Notamacropus eugenii: one gene and its partner. The protein of the gene in region 2 interacts with the protein of the main gene of each other region in a biochemical or structural test. Links are inferred from orthologs where the notes say so. Each region holds a gene or a part of one and is shown on either strand. Other genes may lie near its edges.

Region 1 (8,260 bases), on a different chromosome or scaffold from region 2:
TGTATATAGATGTGTGTATGTGTGCATATAATCATTTTGTCTGGTGTTTGGAATAAAAAAATTATTTTCTAATTGACCTGCTTACTCTTTCTTCTCCTTCACCTGTAACCTCATGCATTTGATGCACTTTATGACATCAGAGTCCTTGAAGTATTCTCTATGCCTAGAATTCCCTTCCCATCCACTTCAATTACTATCTACCTAACTCACGTGAACTCTTCCAGGAATTCTTTCCTCATTTGTGAATCTGTAATGACCCCTCTAGCCACCACCACCCGAATACTTCATATGGTATTTTACTTCTACCTTTCTTACAGACAATGTATTTTATTTTTCAATCTACCTGTATTTTGTGTATACTTTTTGTATGTCACAATCTCCCTACTAGAATATACACTCGATATCAGTAAAGACTATGTCTTACCTAAGTTTTGTATGTTCCTTAGTGCCTAGTACAGTGCCCTACATACCCTGGAAACTTAAATGCTTATTGAATTGCTGAATCCATATTTCAATACTTCAAGGATCTATATTTCTACACAGATTTGAATACTCCCTCCACAGATGCATATTATAGCTCCTCAGATTCAGTATTTGGACTTTTTTATCTCTCAAGTGTCTCCTACCTCTAATATTTTATAATTCAAAAAACTTGTGGGAGAGGAGGAAGAAGGTCAAGGTTCATTCTCACCTGTGCATGTCCAGGACTTGTGAGACAAAGAGTCAGAATGGAAACAGTCAGTATCCTAAACAGGGATGAGAAATCAAACATAAATATTTTATATATACAAATGTCTAAGTACTAGATGAATGTGTTATAACACAATACTTTGAGGAGGAAGGTCCAGATCTATGATTTCACTGAAGTTGAAAACTCCTAAAGAAGAAAATTTCTTTTACCAATGCAAATTGATAAATGTTCCATAATATATTATCTTAGCAGTAATTAAGTGACTTGCCCTGGGTTACACAGGTAGTATGTTTCAAAGTGGAGTCTTGAACCAGATTTTCCTCACTCTGCAGTTGGATATCTAGCCCCCTCACCATGAGGCCTCTCATTCAAATAAGATTTTTTTATAATCAAAAATAGCATTTTGTGCTATAGAGGCTAGAGAAACAGGGAGGACTGTCAGATGCAAATTAAGCATTTACCAAGTTTTTACTTTGAATGCAAACAGAGACAGTAATGCTTGAGTTTAGAAAATTTTTTATTATAAATGTGTGTATAGATGATGATCCTTGTGACCTACCTCAAAAGATCAGAACAAATGAGATGATCAATGGGAAATGTTTGAAGTTCCAAAGAGCAAAATGCTAGATGAAGTTGATGCCAGTGTCATTTAATATAAATGTTCATCTAGCCTAGATACACCTATCAGTGTCTTCCATCAACCAGTAGTGGGGACATTAGAAAATACTGCCTAAGTTTAATGTTCTGTGACCTCAAATTTAACTCTTCACAGTTAATAGGGAGGTTGATCAAATATTCAATGAATGTGAATAACTCAGTCAACCAATCAGAAGAAAGGCAAAACTGAACTGTCTAGACTGATGATGTGTTTGTCTAAATTGGATAATTCATTCATTTCTTCTTTTGAAAAACTATTATTCAATCAACAAATTCTCTTTAGATGCAGACCTGACCTCCACATACTTATTCTGTGACCCATATGACTTTGTCTATTTATTCTTTGGGTAAGTTGAAAAAAAATAAAGTAATTTGACCATTATTCAAAGACAGCAAAGTCAGGACTCATAATTCCCAGTTTCTTCATCTAAGCAAGATCACTCTCCCCAAATAAAGAAATACTCTGAAATTCCAATGGTTTCTTAGCTATTTAATATATAAGGCAGCATTAGCCAGGTTTCATATTATTGGAGACTGTTCTAACCTTATAAAGTTCATAGCTACATCCCAGAGCTGTTTTGTTTTGAGTTTTTTTGTTGTGGTGGTAGTGGACTTTTTTTAATTCACAAAAACTAAATTTATATCTTTTTTTTAAAAAGAGCAACAACAAATTTATTTTCCAGCCTGTTTATTATGAATTTCAATGTTTTCCTGTTTCCTCATGAAGTTTCCTTTCAGTTAGTTATTAAACCACTTTTCATTTATATTGGAGGCTGAGTAGTCTGAGTACCTTCAAGAGCTGGTACAAAATCTATTTTAACACCCATTCTTCCGACCTTTGGGCTAGAGATATTCACCAGCTACAGTCTCCCCTCAAACTTCAGAGCAGATCAAGGCACCCAGACAAAGGCTCTCACCCTTGGCAGAGTGACAGGCAAGTTCTGGGAGTCAAAAAAGTTTCAATCAGTAGCAAAAAGTTTTTACAATTACGAAGGAGCCCCAAAATGCCATTAGCAAAACTTCTTGCCTACGAATAACTTCTGTGACACTGAATCTACATTCTGCTCTTCTGGACAACCAAAATCAAAGCAATCAAAAAGAGAATGAGAAAAAAATATATGTCGTCAGATGTATGGCTAGATTACAACTTCTCATTCTCATTCTCACAATCCAGGATACTTTCTAAAAAAGCAGGTGAAGCATCCATTCCATGCCTTTCCCCTAAAGAAAAGGAAAGGGGAGGAGGGACCTATCAAATGGCATTGCTTGCTGTCAGAAGAGATGATCCCAGGCTTGTTTTAGTTCAACACACACACACACACACACACACACACACACACACACACACACACACACACACACACACTGAAATCCATTGATTTAAAGAAATCTACAGGCTTTTACTAGACAAGAATCCCGGAGCTGTCACTCTCTTAGTCATTAATTTTAAGAATCACTTATCTGTCTCTTAATTTTCCCTAATGAACAACATAAAGTTTGCTTACATGTACTTTTGTCTGCAATCCGCACTTCTCATTGGCTTTATACTTCTGGGTCTCATTCCCTTTGCGAATCACACACAGACATACAGTACAATCCGGCACAAGAGTGTAAATGTGTTCAGCCAGGCACGATGCTTTGTCCAGCAGATGACACATACAAAATAGCAATTCTTTTCTGTGAAGATTGCTAGTAAACTTAAGCTTGGTCTCTCAAATCAGTGATTTTTTTTGGGTAAATCAGCTTGGGTAAAAAAAAGCTGCTGCCGGTCTGTGAAAGTGTTTTTTAGATGAAAGCACTGGCGTTGGAGCAGTAGAATTCTGCAGTCCTGGGACAGACAATGTGACTTCTAAAACTATTATACAACACCACTCCTTGTCCCTCCCCTTCCCTTCCTCCCACCCTCCCCCCCCCCCCCAGAAAAGATCTTCAAGATGGAAATTACTGAACAGCACATTTTTATAATTAGCAATCTTGTTGCATCACTAGCAAATCTCTTTTCCAGTGTCCTGACACAGATTGAACCTCAGCCATAGACATTTTCCACACAGCAGGCTATAGAGCAAGTCTTTCCAATCCCTGAAGAAAGAAGTTCCGTACAAAGAACCTACCTCTTTAATCCTGGCATGTCCCAGATGTGTGGAGAAGAAAAAAAGGAGGTGGGTGGAAAAAGAAAGAAAGGGGAAAAAAAAGATCCCAGTGCCTACTACTCAAAGGCGTTTCTTGAACTTCAACCTTCTCTCTGCCCTTTGATTCTTGTTTTAATGATATTCCAGTACAGCAAGTAGTGAAGCGGGCAGAGTAAGGGTCTGAGCCTCCTGAGGCACTGGAGTGAGTACAGAGAAAGCACCTGGTTTTGCTTAGTCCTTCTCAGTAATTCAGCATTAAACCAATTGGAGGAGGAATGTTAAAAATGAACACTTCATTTTCTAAGTATGTTAAACAATGCAAATGGAGCCTCAGTCTGGACACAGCTGGTTCAGATTAGAGAGCTCACCAACTGGCTAGACTCCTCACAACAATCTTGGGGCGTCTGCCAGGACGAAAGTCTCAGAGCTCGAAGGAAAGCCTCTCCTCCTGGATTCTAGCAAGCAAACACACACACTCTGCAGAGAGCATCTTTCTTGGCGAGGACTACTTATCAAGTGCATGGAGGGAGGTGGGAACACGGGGGTACGTTCACCCTTTAGTTTCCTTCCCAGCTACAACATCCCAGAGTTTTGCAGAGGCCTCGGATAGTCAGGGGATGAGAGGGAGTTATGAAGATTTAGCCCTCCAGGTCATTGGCATTTGAAGAAAAGTTTTTAACCTTTTTCGGGAGAATAGAAACTTGTAGAATACAGCTACAAATGACCACTGCGCTTGATTTATTATTAGAAATTAGCACAGATTAAGTGAAGATTTAGAGATAAAAAGATAGAAGGGATGAATATTTGCCAAAAGAAATGCCATAAGGAAGATCATATACCAATGGCTAGTAAAATTAAAAAGACAGGGTTCTAACCCTTCACTTCAACTTTTGAACAGCAAATTTCTAACTTTAATCTTTCTAGCATCCCTTTACAGCTGGTTCATGATTTTGCTTTAAAAAAAGGTCATGGATCATAGTAGATTTAAAGTGGGAAGGAAGAGATTGCCCAGTTGAACCCCTTCTTTTACAGATGAAGAAACTGAGGCCAGAGAAAGTGACTTCCCCAAGGTTACATACATAATCAATGGCAAAAGGGGGATTCAGCCTCCCAAATTCAGTGTTTTCTTCATTATACTACCCTGCTTTTCTTAAATAATAGGAGGATGTGAGAAAAAGAAGCAGGCATGAGATATGAGGATGCTCTCAGTAAGGTAATTCTGCTTTCAAAATACCTTACATTTCAGTCAATGGTCAATAACAGTTATAAAGCACAGTCTGTCTGGCACTATGCTAAGCACTGGAGATACAAAAAAAGGCAAAAAAAAAAAAAAGAGTACCAATCTCAAGAAGCTCACAGACTAATGGGAGAGACAATACACAAACAACTATGTAGGAACAAGATATATGCAGGATGCATTGGAAAGAATCATCAGAGAGAAGGCACTAGAATTATGGGAGACCAGGAAAGGTGGGAGTTCAACTGGGACTTAAAGACAAGCTCACCAGAAGGCAGAAATGAAGAGGGAGAGTATTCCAGGCATTGGACAAAGTCAGTGAAAATAACTGGAATCAAAAGATGGAAGGTCTTGTTTGAGGAAGAGCAAGGAGGTCAGTGTCACGGAGAGTATGCAAAGGTTAGGAAAGCATAGAAATTGAGGGGATGCCCATCAATTGGGGAATGACTGAACAAGTTGTGGTATATGAATGAAATGAATACTACTGCGCTATAACAAATGACGAACAGGAAGACTTCAGAGAGGCCTGGAAGGACTTACATCAACTGATGCTGAGTGAAAGGGGCAGAACCAGGAGATCATTGTACATAGTACCAACCACAGTGTGTGAGGAATTTTTCTGGTAGACTTAGCCCTTCACAGCAATGGAAGGACCTAAAAACTTCCCAATGGACTCTTCAGGCAAAATGCCATCCACATCCAGAGAAAGAACTATGGAATTGGAATGCAGAATGAAGCAGAACATTTTCTCCTGTGTTATGTTTTGTTTTAGTTTGTTTTTTCTCATGATTTCCCCCATTCATTTTAATAACTTTATGCAAAATGACTAATGTGAAAATGTGCTTAATAAGAATATATGTCTAGAAATCATCAGATTGCATGCTGTCCCAGGGAGAGAGGGCAATGGGGGTGTCTTCACATGTTACTTCTTTGGAACTGAGCTTGACCTTTGTAATTTTTAAACATCTGTTTTTGATAGTTCTGTGGCTGTTATTTCCATTTATGTCATTGCAGTTATTGTGTATATTGTTATTTTGGACAGTATATTTTGCTACTTGTTTAATCATGTAAGTCTTTCCATGCTTTCCAGTATTCATTAGTCATCATTTCTTACAGCACAGTAAAATTTCTTTATACTTATGTACCACAATATATGTGCATGTGTGTTGGTAGTCTGTATATCTTTATCAGACAAATTTGATAGAGATCCCTCTGCCCCCCCCCCCAGTTCAACTGCTTATTCTACATGCATTCATCTTGTTCGCGTGGAAGCTTTTAAGTTTCATATATTTATCTTGTATAGTTATTTCTATCAACTGTTGGTTTAAAAATACATCTTCTACCTGTGGAAAACATATATGATCTACTTCTCATTTTTTATGTATGGTTTTTTAATCTTAAGGTAATCTATCCATTTAAAATGCATTGTGGAATGTGATGGAATGGTGTTGGTCTAATTCTATTTTCTGCCAGACAACTTTCTAGTTTTCCCAAAAGTTTTTATCTAATAAGTTCTTTTCTAATTTATGTTTTCTAGTTCATTGAACATCGGGTCATTGAGTTCTATTTCTTTTCATCTTTCCTTGCCTAGTCCATCCACTGATCTACTTCCTTATTTTTTTTAAACCATTACCAACTGGTTTTGATAACTGACAGGCTATAATAGAGTTTGCACTCCCCTATTCATCCCTACCTTTTTTCCTCATTATTTTCCTTTATAGTCTAGATATTTTGTTTCTCCAAATGAACTGAGATAATTTTATCAAGCTCTGTAAAATATCCTTTTGATAGTTTGATTGGTATAGTATTAAAACTATAATTTTCTTAAAATTTGATTTATTTTTAATTTGTAAACCTAAGATAAGCATTTCCATAATTTAGCAGAATAAAAAAATCACTTGAAAATACAAATCTTTTATGTATAACCTGTTATTTCTTTTAAATATATAATAAAGTAATCAAGTTTCTTTTTTTCTCTCTGAAAATTATAACTTTTAACTGTCATTTTTATTATATTGGCACAGTCCAACCATGATCATTGAATAGTTTTCCAAATATTTAGGTTCTTCTTTATTTCCATAACGGATATTTTGCAATTGAGTACAAACAGGTATTTTGTATACTTTGATAGATTGAGCTCCAGGTATTTTGTGCTTTTGTAGTTATTTTGAACGGTATTTACCTTTCATTTTGATGTTATAATATAGAAATGTTATTTTTGGGTTGTTATATAGAAATACTGTTATTTTTGCAGCTAGAAACTTTGAAACTATTGTTTCAATTGAAATCTTTGCTGTTCACCTAGAATTTTCTAAATAAACCATAGTGTCGTTAGCAAATTGGAATCATTTTATAACTCTTTTTTTGCCTATCTTTTCTCCTTTAACTTCTTTCTCTTGATTTATTGCTGTTGCTGTCATTTCCAGAACTATGTCAAATAACAGCAGAAAAACTGAGCATGCTTGCTTTATTCCTGTATTTCTTGTAGAAGTTTCTAGTGGATCCGATCTTTTTAGATTTCACATACATTTCCTGATATTAACAAAAAATCCCACTATGCCTATATTTCATAGGATTTGTAGCATGAAATGAATATTGTACTTTGTCAAAGGCAAAGTATTGAGATAATTAATTATAATTATGTGACTGTAATTATAATTACAATAATCTCTGTTACTTGAGATAATCGTGTGGTTTTGGATGTTTTTATACTTTGTATGATTATGGTGATGTATGTTTTGTTTGACAGGACTTGAAATGTCTTTAATTAATATTCAGTAGTGACATCAGTTCATGGTTCTTATTTGCTTTATCTTTCCCTCATTTAGGAATCAAGGCCATATTCATCCCAAAAAGAGTCTGATAAAACAATTTCTCAATTTTTGAGAATACTTTGTATGGTATTAAATTAATTAAGTTAATTTATGATATTAAAACTAGTTGTTCTTTAGAAGTTTGAATTATCCTGTGAATCTACTAGGACTATTCTCCTTTGGTAGGCCCTTTATTACTCATTTTATTTCTCTTTTCTCAGATTGGATTATAGAAGATCTCTAGTTGGTTACTTAGGTATTTTATATTTCTAAAAGTATTCCTCTATTTCTTTTGTGTTTTCAGTTTTGGTAGCATATAACTGTTCATAGTAGGTTCTAAGAATTCTTTTTATTTCCTCTAGTTTTGTTGTGGTATCACCTTATTCATTTGCTATTTTGTTGATTTGATTTTCTGCCCTTTTTTATAACAGGTCTGCTAAAGCTTACTAATTTTGTTAGCTTTTAAGAACTAGGTTTTAGTCTTATCATTTCTAATGTCTTTTTCTATTTCCAGTTTAGTTCTCCACTACTTTTCCATATTTCTTATTTTAATTTTTTTGGGGGGAGAGTTATTTATTGGCTAATTTTTTAATATGTGTATTTAGTTTGTTTTTCATTTTGTTAATGTATGTTTTTAGAGATAAATTTTCTCCTGAGGATTGTTTTAGTTGCATCCCAGAAATTTTCATGTTATTTTACCATTATTTTCTTTCAAAAAAATTATTTCAGCAAT
Region 2 (8,084 bases):
ACTAGGATGAATGGTTTGGTTAGTTAAAATTAAATAGAAACAGGGATTTATGGGACAAATCCTTCATGGATCTGCATGCCAAGGGAGACCTTGAGGCTTATCAAGGTCTGCTGTTGCCTAGGAGACCCATCAGCTTAGCTATTTCTATGGCAACCATATTCAATTGGCTTGGATAAGTGGGAAGAGAAGAGGTTTGAGTACATGGGTTAAAGGCACTGACCAATTATCTTGAAAGATGTGGGGCTGCCAGAGGCTTCTGGCTGAATAGAGGTGGGCAGTTCCCAAACCCCTAAGAGCAATGGCCACAGGTGCAGTCCTCAAAAGGAGTTAAATGGAAGGCAATGAAAGGTAGACCAACAGACTTTAAACCTTTAGGGGCTTGTATAACTGACTAGCTACTCATCTTGTCCCCAGTCTTCCTAGGGTACAAACAGAACTTGTATCTCTTCTTGGAATCCCCAAATCTCTTCCAGACTCTAATCAGGAACCACTTCTTACATGAGCCCCTTTCTGATCTACCTTTTGTTAGTGCTTGCCACTGCCAACATCATACTATCTGCATTTTGTATTTTCTTATCTGTGTATGTGTTAAATCCACTTAGCCCCCAACATATAACGTCAGCTCCTTGAGAGCAACTGATATATATTTTTTTGTATTTGTACCCCCAATGTCTAGTATAGCACCTTGTACAAGGAGTCATTAGCACTAGAAGGGATTGTACCACTCCTTCTTACAGATGAGGAAACTGAGCTTCAGGGAACTACGATAGGAGTCTAATAAATGCTTGCTGCAATAGTTATGTTTCCTGAAAGGTGAGGTCATATTTTTTTTAAAAGCTTCCCCCATCTCTCTATGTGTGTGTGGAGGGGAGGGGTGACAAGATGGCCTTGTATCTTTCCTTGCCTGTACTATCAAGCTTTATTCTGGGTGGGGGGATAGAGGTGAGCCCTTATAATATTTTCATAGCTATAGAGGTAGAAGGGACCTCAGAAGCCATCTGGTCCAACCCCCTCATTTTGCAGATAAAGGATAAGGACATTAAATGACAAATCCCAGGTCACACACCAGTAAGCTTCAGACACAGACTTAGAACCCAGGTCCTCTGATTCCAGAAGCAACGTTCATTTCCTTCCCCTCTCCTTTCCATGGGCTTACATTTGAGCAAAGAAGAGGTCAAGTAGAGGAGCAAAGAGACATAAGGATACCATGGATTAAAAATTACCAGAAGGGAGGGATTTTGGGGGGGAGGGGAGAGATGTACCAAAGTGGAGAGTGGAATCTGAGAAGAATCAAGCAGAACAGAGTGAGAATTAGTGATTATGTGAGACTTTTCCTGATCCCCCTAGCTTCTGTCTTCTTCCTCAAAATTAATCTCTCTCTCTCCTTATATATATGTATATATATACATATATATAACATATATACACTATATATTTAAAGAATACATGCAAATATATGCTTGTGTGTGTTGCATATCTACTTATTGTTTCCCAGGTGGAATGAAAGGTTCTTGAGGGTAGGAATTGTTTTAGGTTTGTCTCCCCAGCTTTTAACAGTGTCTGGCACACAATGCTTCATAAATGCTTGTTGATTGGTTAGGATTGGCAGATAATAGCTTTCATTTAGATAGCACTTTATATGGGCTTTATCTAGTTTGATACTTAAGAAGTAGATAAGGCAAGTGATATCCCCATTTTACAGATGAAGAAACTGAGGTGTATTGACTTGCCCAAGTATCTCTGTCTACTAAATAGTAACAACCACAATTTGGACCCAGCTGTTCTGCCTTCAGCACAGGTGTTCTTGGCAATATTATACACATCATTAAAAGGAACTCCCAGCCCATTCCTTTAAAGTGTGGTCCCTCCAGGAGGTGCTCAGTACTCACCTCGTCCATTCTGGTTGGGCCTATACACACTGCCCACGCTGACCCGGCCTTGTTGGGTGCCCTGTCTGTCCCCACCTAATGGGGGAGCTTCCGAGCTCCTGATGGGCATATAGGATTCTGGCCTCGGGGCACTCCCATAGGGTTCCAGGACCCGGAATGGTGGCTGAGGCTCCACTACTCTCGGTGGGATGTAAGTTTCCGGGGGGACATTGGCATAGGGTGATTGCCAGCCCAGGCGGGGATCAGTCACATAGCCTGGTCCCAAGCCTGGGGAGGAGCCCCCGTTAACCTGCGGGCTGTCAGGAGCAGCTGCCACTTGGCCTGGCACCACCTGGCCAGGGACTGAGTTGTAAGTGTCTTGGTAAGCTTGATCAAAGTTCGTGGTCCCCTCATGATACAGACTGTGGGAATACCTCCTGTCCAGCCCGTCAGAAGGCTGAGGTTGGGGCTGGGGCACTGGCATGAGGGGCATCTCCTGGGCTGGATAGAAGCCCTGAGGCTGATACGGGGTCTGCTCCTCCCCGTACTCTTCATACCTCAGCCGAGGCTGGAAGGGGTAGATGACTCCAGCCGAGGCCACTGCAGCTGCCCCGGCTCCCTGCCCGCCTGTGGGGCTCCGGTAATACACGTAGCTCTCTTCATAGGCCCTAGGTACTTGCTCGTACGTTTCGTACTGACTGACAAAAGGGGGCTGGGGGTAGGGGAACTGCGCGGGATAAGATGGCTGCCGGTAGGTGGTCTGGGCGAAGGCGGAGGCTGAGGCTGAGCCCAAGGCTGATGAGACGGAGGAGGAGGCGGAGCTCGCCTGGCGTTGCCGGGAGACGGAGGTGCGGGCTCTGGCCATCCCGGTGCTGTCCCCGACGGCCACCTCCCGCCAGTTTTCTGGCACCTGGCCGAAGCCGAAAGGGTGCCGGGCCTGGCCTCGGATGGTGTCCGAGCCAGCCCTTACGGGCAGTGAGGGGGCCTGCCTGCGGATGGGGCGTCCCGGGCTCCTTCGGCCGGTCGTCTGTTGGGCTCCGGCCAGAAGTACCTGGGCGCTGCCGTCGTGGACCACTGTGCCAGGAGGCAGGTACTCGGAGCCCGAGTTCAGGAGGCTATACACCCGTCCGTTGTTCTCCCACTGGATCATCTGCCTCCAGGGGCTGGCGTCGGAACTCTGCTGCTGAGGAGGCTGCTGTCCGCGGGTCAGGAGGAAGACCCCGCAGCCTAGGAGCGCCCAGAGCTCCCAGGAGACGCGGGCCATGATCTCTGCGCCGTCTCGTCTCCTGCCTCCGGGGGGACTGGACTAGCAGCGTGGGTCACACACAGCAGAGACGCCGCTTCTCCCGAGTCCCCCACCTCCCGATGAGTCTGTCCCTCCCTTCCCCAAAGCGTTGTGGGCAGCTCTTTTCCTCCCTGAGGTTCTAGCGCTGTCCATCCCCGGCCAGTCCCGAGCGGGAGGGTTGCCTGGACAGCAGCATGGTGAGGCCAGGCGAGGCTAGGCGAGGAGCGGAGAAGCAGCGGCGGGTGGCCCGAAGCGAGGCTGGCCAAGCCCAGGGGCTCCGTCTGGGGCAGGGCAGGGTACGGTGTGGAGCAGGGCTGGAGTTGGAGTCACTCCCTGCAGGTCTGGCCCCAAGGACAGGACCACCACCGGGAGGGGCTTTACATGGCTCCCGTGCGGGATGGGGGTGGGGGGGGACTGGCCGACTCCCTCCTCCGTCCTTTCCTTTCTCCCGCCCTCCCTTACTCCCTCTCTCTTTGGGTCTGGGGCCAGCCGGGCTGGCTCTTTCCCACTCTGAATGAATAAGCAACAAGCTGTGAAAAGTTTGGAAGTTTCAGAGCAGCCTGCTCGGTTTCGGGGCTCCACCGCTGGGCCCTATTGCCCGTCGGGTTTTAGCTATGCGGCCAGCCCCCGAGGCGCCTGGCCCTTGCTCTCAGCTCTGCAAGCCAAGCTGGGGGGCTGCCTTGCTCTTTGATGAAGAAAGGAAGCAGTCCCAGTGAAAACTGAGGACAATGGAGGGAACCTGGGAATGAGAGGAAAGGAGCGAATCTCTTGTTCAGAGCAGTCCCTGACAAGCGGATTCTCTGGGGCCAGATGGGCTGCCTTGGCCCCTGGCTTGTTTTCCGTCCTGAGAGGCATCATTTTCACCCACTCTTCTGTCGCTAGAGGGGACCTTACCCTGTTCCCTGTAGTTAAAAGAACCTTGGCTTTAAAAGACAGAACCTATCCCAGGATCAGGCTTGGAAAGGACCTTTGGGGTCATGTAGTCCAAGTTCTTCTTTGCAGGGAGGAGGAAAATGAGTCCGAGAGAGGGGGTTTTGCTCGCTGAGGGTTGCACACAAGTAACAAACGGAAGGGTTGAATGAAAAAGCAATTATGAAGCATTCACTATGTCCCAAGCACTGGGTTTCGTTGAGATTTGAGCTTAGGTCTCCTGACTCCAATTCGCTAGCTGTGTTTTTTTTTAGGACTTTGCATGTCGGAGCTGTGGGATCTTGAGTAGTGTGGTATGTTGAAAAGATCACCAAGTTTCAGGTAAGAGGACCTGGACTGGAAGACCTGTTTTGTTTCTTACTAGCTGTGTGACTTTGGGAAAGTCGTCTCCCTTTCTGTATGGAGTTTCCTTCTTTGTAAAATGAAGGGATTGGACTGGATGGATGATCTTAGGCTTCCTTACAATTCTGCATACTATAACCCCTAAGATCATGAGGTGCTCTTCATCATTTAGGCTAGGTCCTAGCATCCCTGATTCCTGACTCTCATTTCCCACCATTTCTGTCCCCACCCAATGATTTCAGCAACAAACAAGCAATCATCTATTCCAAGCTGGAGGGGACGTAAGAGGTCACCTAGCCCAGCCCCTCATTTTGCAAAAAGAAAACCTCAGCTCAGAAAAGTTTAGTGCTCACACAGCTGGAAAATGTCAGAAGTGGAATATGATCTCACCTTTTCTGGACTTGAAGCCAAACATTCTATTCCTTGATGCTCTAGGCAGTACCTCCAGTATCTTTTCTTTGTTCCTTCCTTCCCTTTCCGTCTCTTCTCTGCTCCCTCACTCTCTCCTTTTTGCCTTCCTTCTTTCTTTCTTTCAAAGATGATATAATCCAAAACTTTCCTTTTACAGAGAAAGAAACTGAGGCTCAGACAATTTTCAAGGTCCAAGCTCACTCATTAAATGCATAGCAGAACTGGGAGTCCACATCTCCTGATTATCACTGCCTCCTCTTTGCTGTGATGACCTTTGCCCCGGATACCCAGAGATCTGGTCTATAGAAGCACATCAGCAGTGGAGTGGCCTGGTACCTTTCCTAGAGAAGAGCACTGGGTGGATTTCTTTTTTATGTCTGCCCCAGGGGGCTGAAGGGAGATCTGTACCTTGCCCAGAATATGTTCCCTTTTAGATCCAGAAATAATCTCCAGATCTCATCTTGGTCATTTCACTTCCAGTCTTTCATTCTGGGCAGTGGGAGGGTGAAAGGAAAAGTGTGGTATTCTAGGTGGTGGGAAAGGGGCAGGGTTCAGTCCAGGAGCATGTTCATTATTGGACCAGGAGTCAGGAGACTGAAGTGCTAGACAGGATCCTGACCCTAATTTGCCATGTGGTCATGAATAAGTCTCTCTCTCTGTTTCTCTCTCTCTTCCCATCTCTGTCTCTCTCTTTTCTTCTCTGTCTCTGCCTCTGTTTCATTTCGCTCTTCTTCAAAGTTAGAACATTGGATTAGGGTCTCTAAGGTCCCCTCCAGCCCAGATAATCTGGGATTCTGTGAATTTTCTCTCCACTCTATCCTCTAGATGAGGAATTAGTGTAAAGCATAGGAAACAGCTAGCACAGTGGATGAACCACTAGCCTCAAATCAGAAGACCTGAGTTCAAATCCAGTCTTAGACACTTACTAGTTGTGTGACCTTGGGCAAGTCACTTAACACTGTTTGCCTCAGTTTTCTCATCTGTAAAATGAACTGGAGAAGGAAATGGCTTTGCCAAGAAAATCCCAAAGTGAGATCACAGAGGATTGGACAGGACTGAACAACAATAGGGAAATAGAAGGAGGAGGAAGGGAAATTAACTAGACACCTGGATTTTTCAGGATCTGGATTGTTATCCCCTTAAGAATCAAAAATTTAGACTCTAAAAGAGAGGCAGAATGGCCTACTGGATAGAATGATGGACATGGAGTCAAGAAAACCTGGGTTCAAATTTCACCTTTGATACTTATTAGCCGTCTAACCACAGGGCAAGTCACCCAATCTCTCTGAGCCTCAGACAATTCTCTAAGACTAAATACTGGAAAGAAAGGATGGTAAAGAACACTGTTCAGTAGTCAGATATCCTGGATTCAGACTTTGCTGCTTGTCATTTATTTTCTATATGACCTTAGACAAGTTACTCTCTGGACTTCAGATCTTCATCTGTAAAAAGAGGGGGGTGGACTTTGGGACCTTTGAAGTCCTTTCCAGCTCTAAGCATATGATCCTCTGAAATTATAAAGAGGTTGCCACCTGCCTTGTCAGAGGGACAAAACCCTTTTGTCATGAATTTCTGTAAGGTCTCAGGAAGACTCTTGACATGACCTAGGTAACTTCTGAAATTGTCTAAACCTGGATTCCACAAAATATGGGATGCTCTTCAGGCAACAACTTTGAGGTACAAAAGTACATTGTGGACCTGAAATGTGTCCTGGAAACCTTGAAGCAGGGTCAGTCCTGAAAACTGGAGGAAGAAGGCTTCCTTAGGGCTCTTGTCCAGCCGACTGTTTTCCTAAACTACCTGGCTCTGACACCAGGGGTGAATTTGATCTCTGGTTCAGTCAAGGGAACCAGAGATGCCAGCCCATTAGGCCAAGTTTCCAGGGGGTGGTAGGCCCCTGTCACTCCTTCCTCTGCCTCGGAGATGAGTCCAAAGTTCAGGCTGTCCCTAGGATGCCTAGAACCATGCCCCACTCTCCTTGAGGAAGAGAAATGAGGTCAGTTCTTCATGCCAGCCCTAGAGCTCAAACTCACTCCAGGAGAGTGCTTGATTTTCCTGCCCAGGGTCCAGGAGGGACACAGCTAGAGATCCTCAGCTCCCTTCCTCACCTTCCATCCCCTTCCACCCTCCCAGGGCTAAGTTAAGGGTAGTACAGTCAATATTAAGGGAGATTCTTTTAATGCTAGCTCCTTGGCTTCGTGTCTGATACCCAGACTTCTCTGATGGCTCATCAGCTGCTACCATAGTCATTGAGACATTGCCTTAAGGCAGTCAGAGTGGGCAGGCCTTGGGATAATCCAAGATCCAAGAGTTATTTTTACAATCCCATGGTTCCAGCCCACTGTTCTCATTGGGTTTCATTCTCACTTTGGACATACATAGCGTGAAATGTCTGCATGGATGTTTTATTTTTTCTTTCCTTGAGTTTCTAATTGGAAGAGGGGAGATGGAAAGAGATGACAAACTATTCTCATTCCATTGGCCATTAGCGAACTTCTTTTGGTGCCAAAGAACAAAAGAAGATGGCCACATCCTCTCTGTCTCTGTCTCTGTCTCTGTCTCTGTCTCTGTCTCTGTCTCTGTCTCTGTCTCTGTCTCTCTCTCTCTCTCTCTCTCTCTCTCTCTCTCCTCTTTCCCTCTCCCTCTCCCTCTCTCTTCTCTCTCCTCTCTCCTTTCTCTCTCTGTCTCTCTCTGTCTCTGTCTCTGTCTCTCTCTCTCTCTTTCCTCCCCACACCCCATCACCCCATTCCTCCTCCTCACATGAGACTTCTGAACAGGGGGAAGAGAGGATTTATAGCCTAGGGCACAGAGGAATTGAGGATTGACTATTTGAAGATTACTGAGGTTTATTTATTTCTTTAGTTGGGATTGTGAGTTAAACTTTTATTTTTCCTTTGAGGACCTGACATTGCTAAACACAACACCTCCAGGGCAGAACCTTAAATGCCTTACAAGGAGGAGTCTGTTTTGGTTCTTTAGAGCCATATTGTTTATACACTGGAGGGGGAAAAGAGGAGAAGGAGGAAGAGGAGGGACTGAGAGGAAGGACTGGAAACAGGAAATGAAGGGAAAGAAGAAAATAAAAGAGGTCCCTATCTGTATCTGTTTCAGGGAAGGGGAGAGTGGATGTTGGTGGTGACTAGATGTCTCGAGAGTGATTACTCAGTGATACACTTGTCAGTGTGGGGATCTTGGACCTGAGAGCAGTGGAAGACAAAATCCCCCTTTGGGCATTAAGGCAGATGGAA

What was found. The genes of interacting proteins can lie anywhere in the genome.
Region 1: the proteins of LOXL1 (region 2) and FBLN5 form a complex in vitro, tested with the Homo sapiens proteins (2 studies listed by BioGRID and IntAct). The link is inferred for Notamacropus eugenii from reciprocal best matches to the Homo sapiens genes LOXL1 and FBLN5.

The regions. Positions count from the first base shown.
Region 1 is NC_092878.1:38,570,780-38,579,039, reverse strand, and holds the start of FBLN5 (fibulin-5), read right to left. Parts: upstream 3,697-8,260; 5' UTR 3,477-3,696; coding exon of another isoform or gene 3,460-3,476; intron 3,177-3,459; 5' UTR 2,910-3,176; coding exon 2,854-2,909; intron 747-2,853; coding exon 692-746; intron 1-691. UniProt on the Homo sapiens protein: Essential for elastic fiber formation, is involved in the assembly of continuous elastin (ELN) polymer and promotes the interaction of microfibrils and ELN. Stabilizes and organizes elastic fibers in the skin, lung and vasculature.
Region 2 is NC_092872.1:242,599,935-242,608,018, forward strand, and holds the start of LOXL1 (lysyl oxidase homolog 1), read right to left. Parts: upstream 3,689-8,084; 5' UTR 3,133-3,688; coding exon 1,890-3,132; intron 1-1,889. UniProt on the Homo sapiens protein: Catalyzes the oxidative deamination of lysine and hydroxylysine residues in collagen and elastin, resulting in the formation of covalent cross-linkages, and the stabilization of collagen and elastin fibers.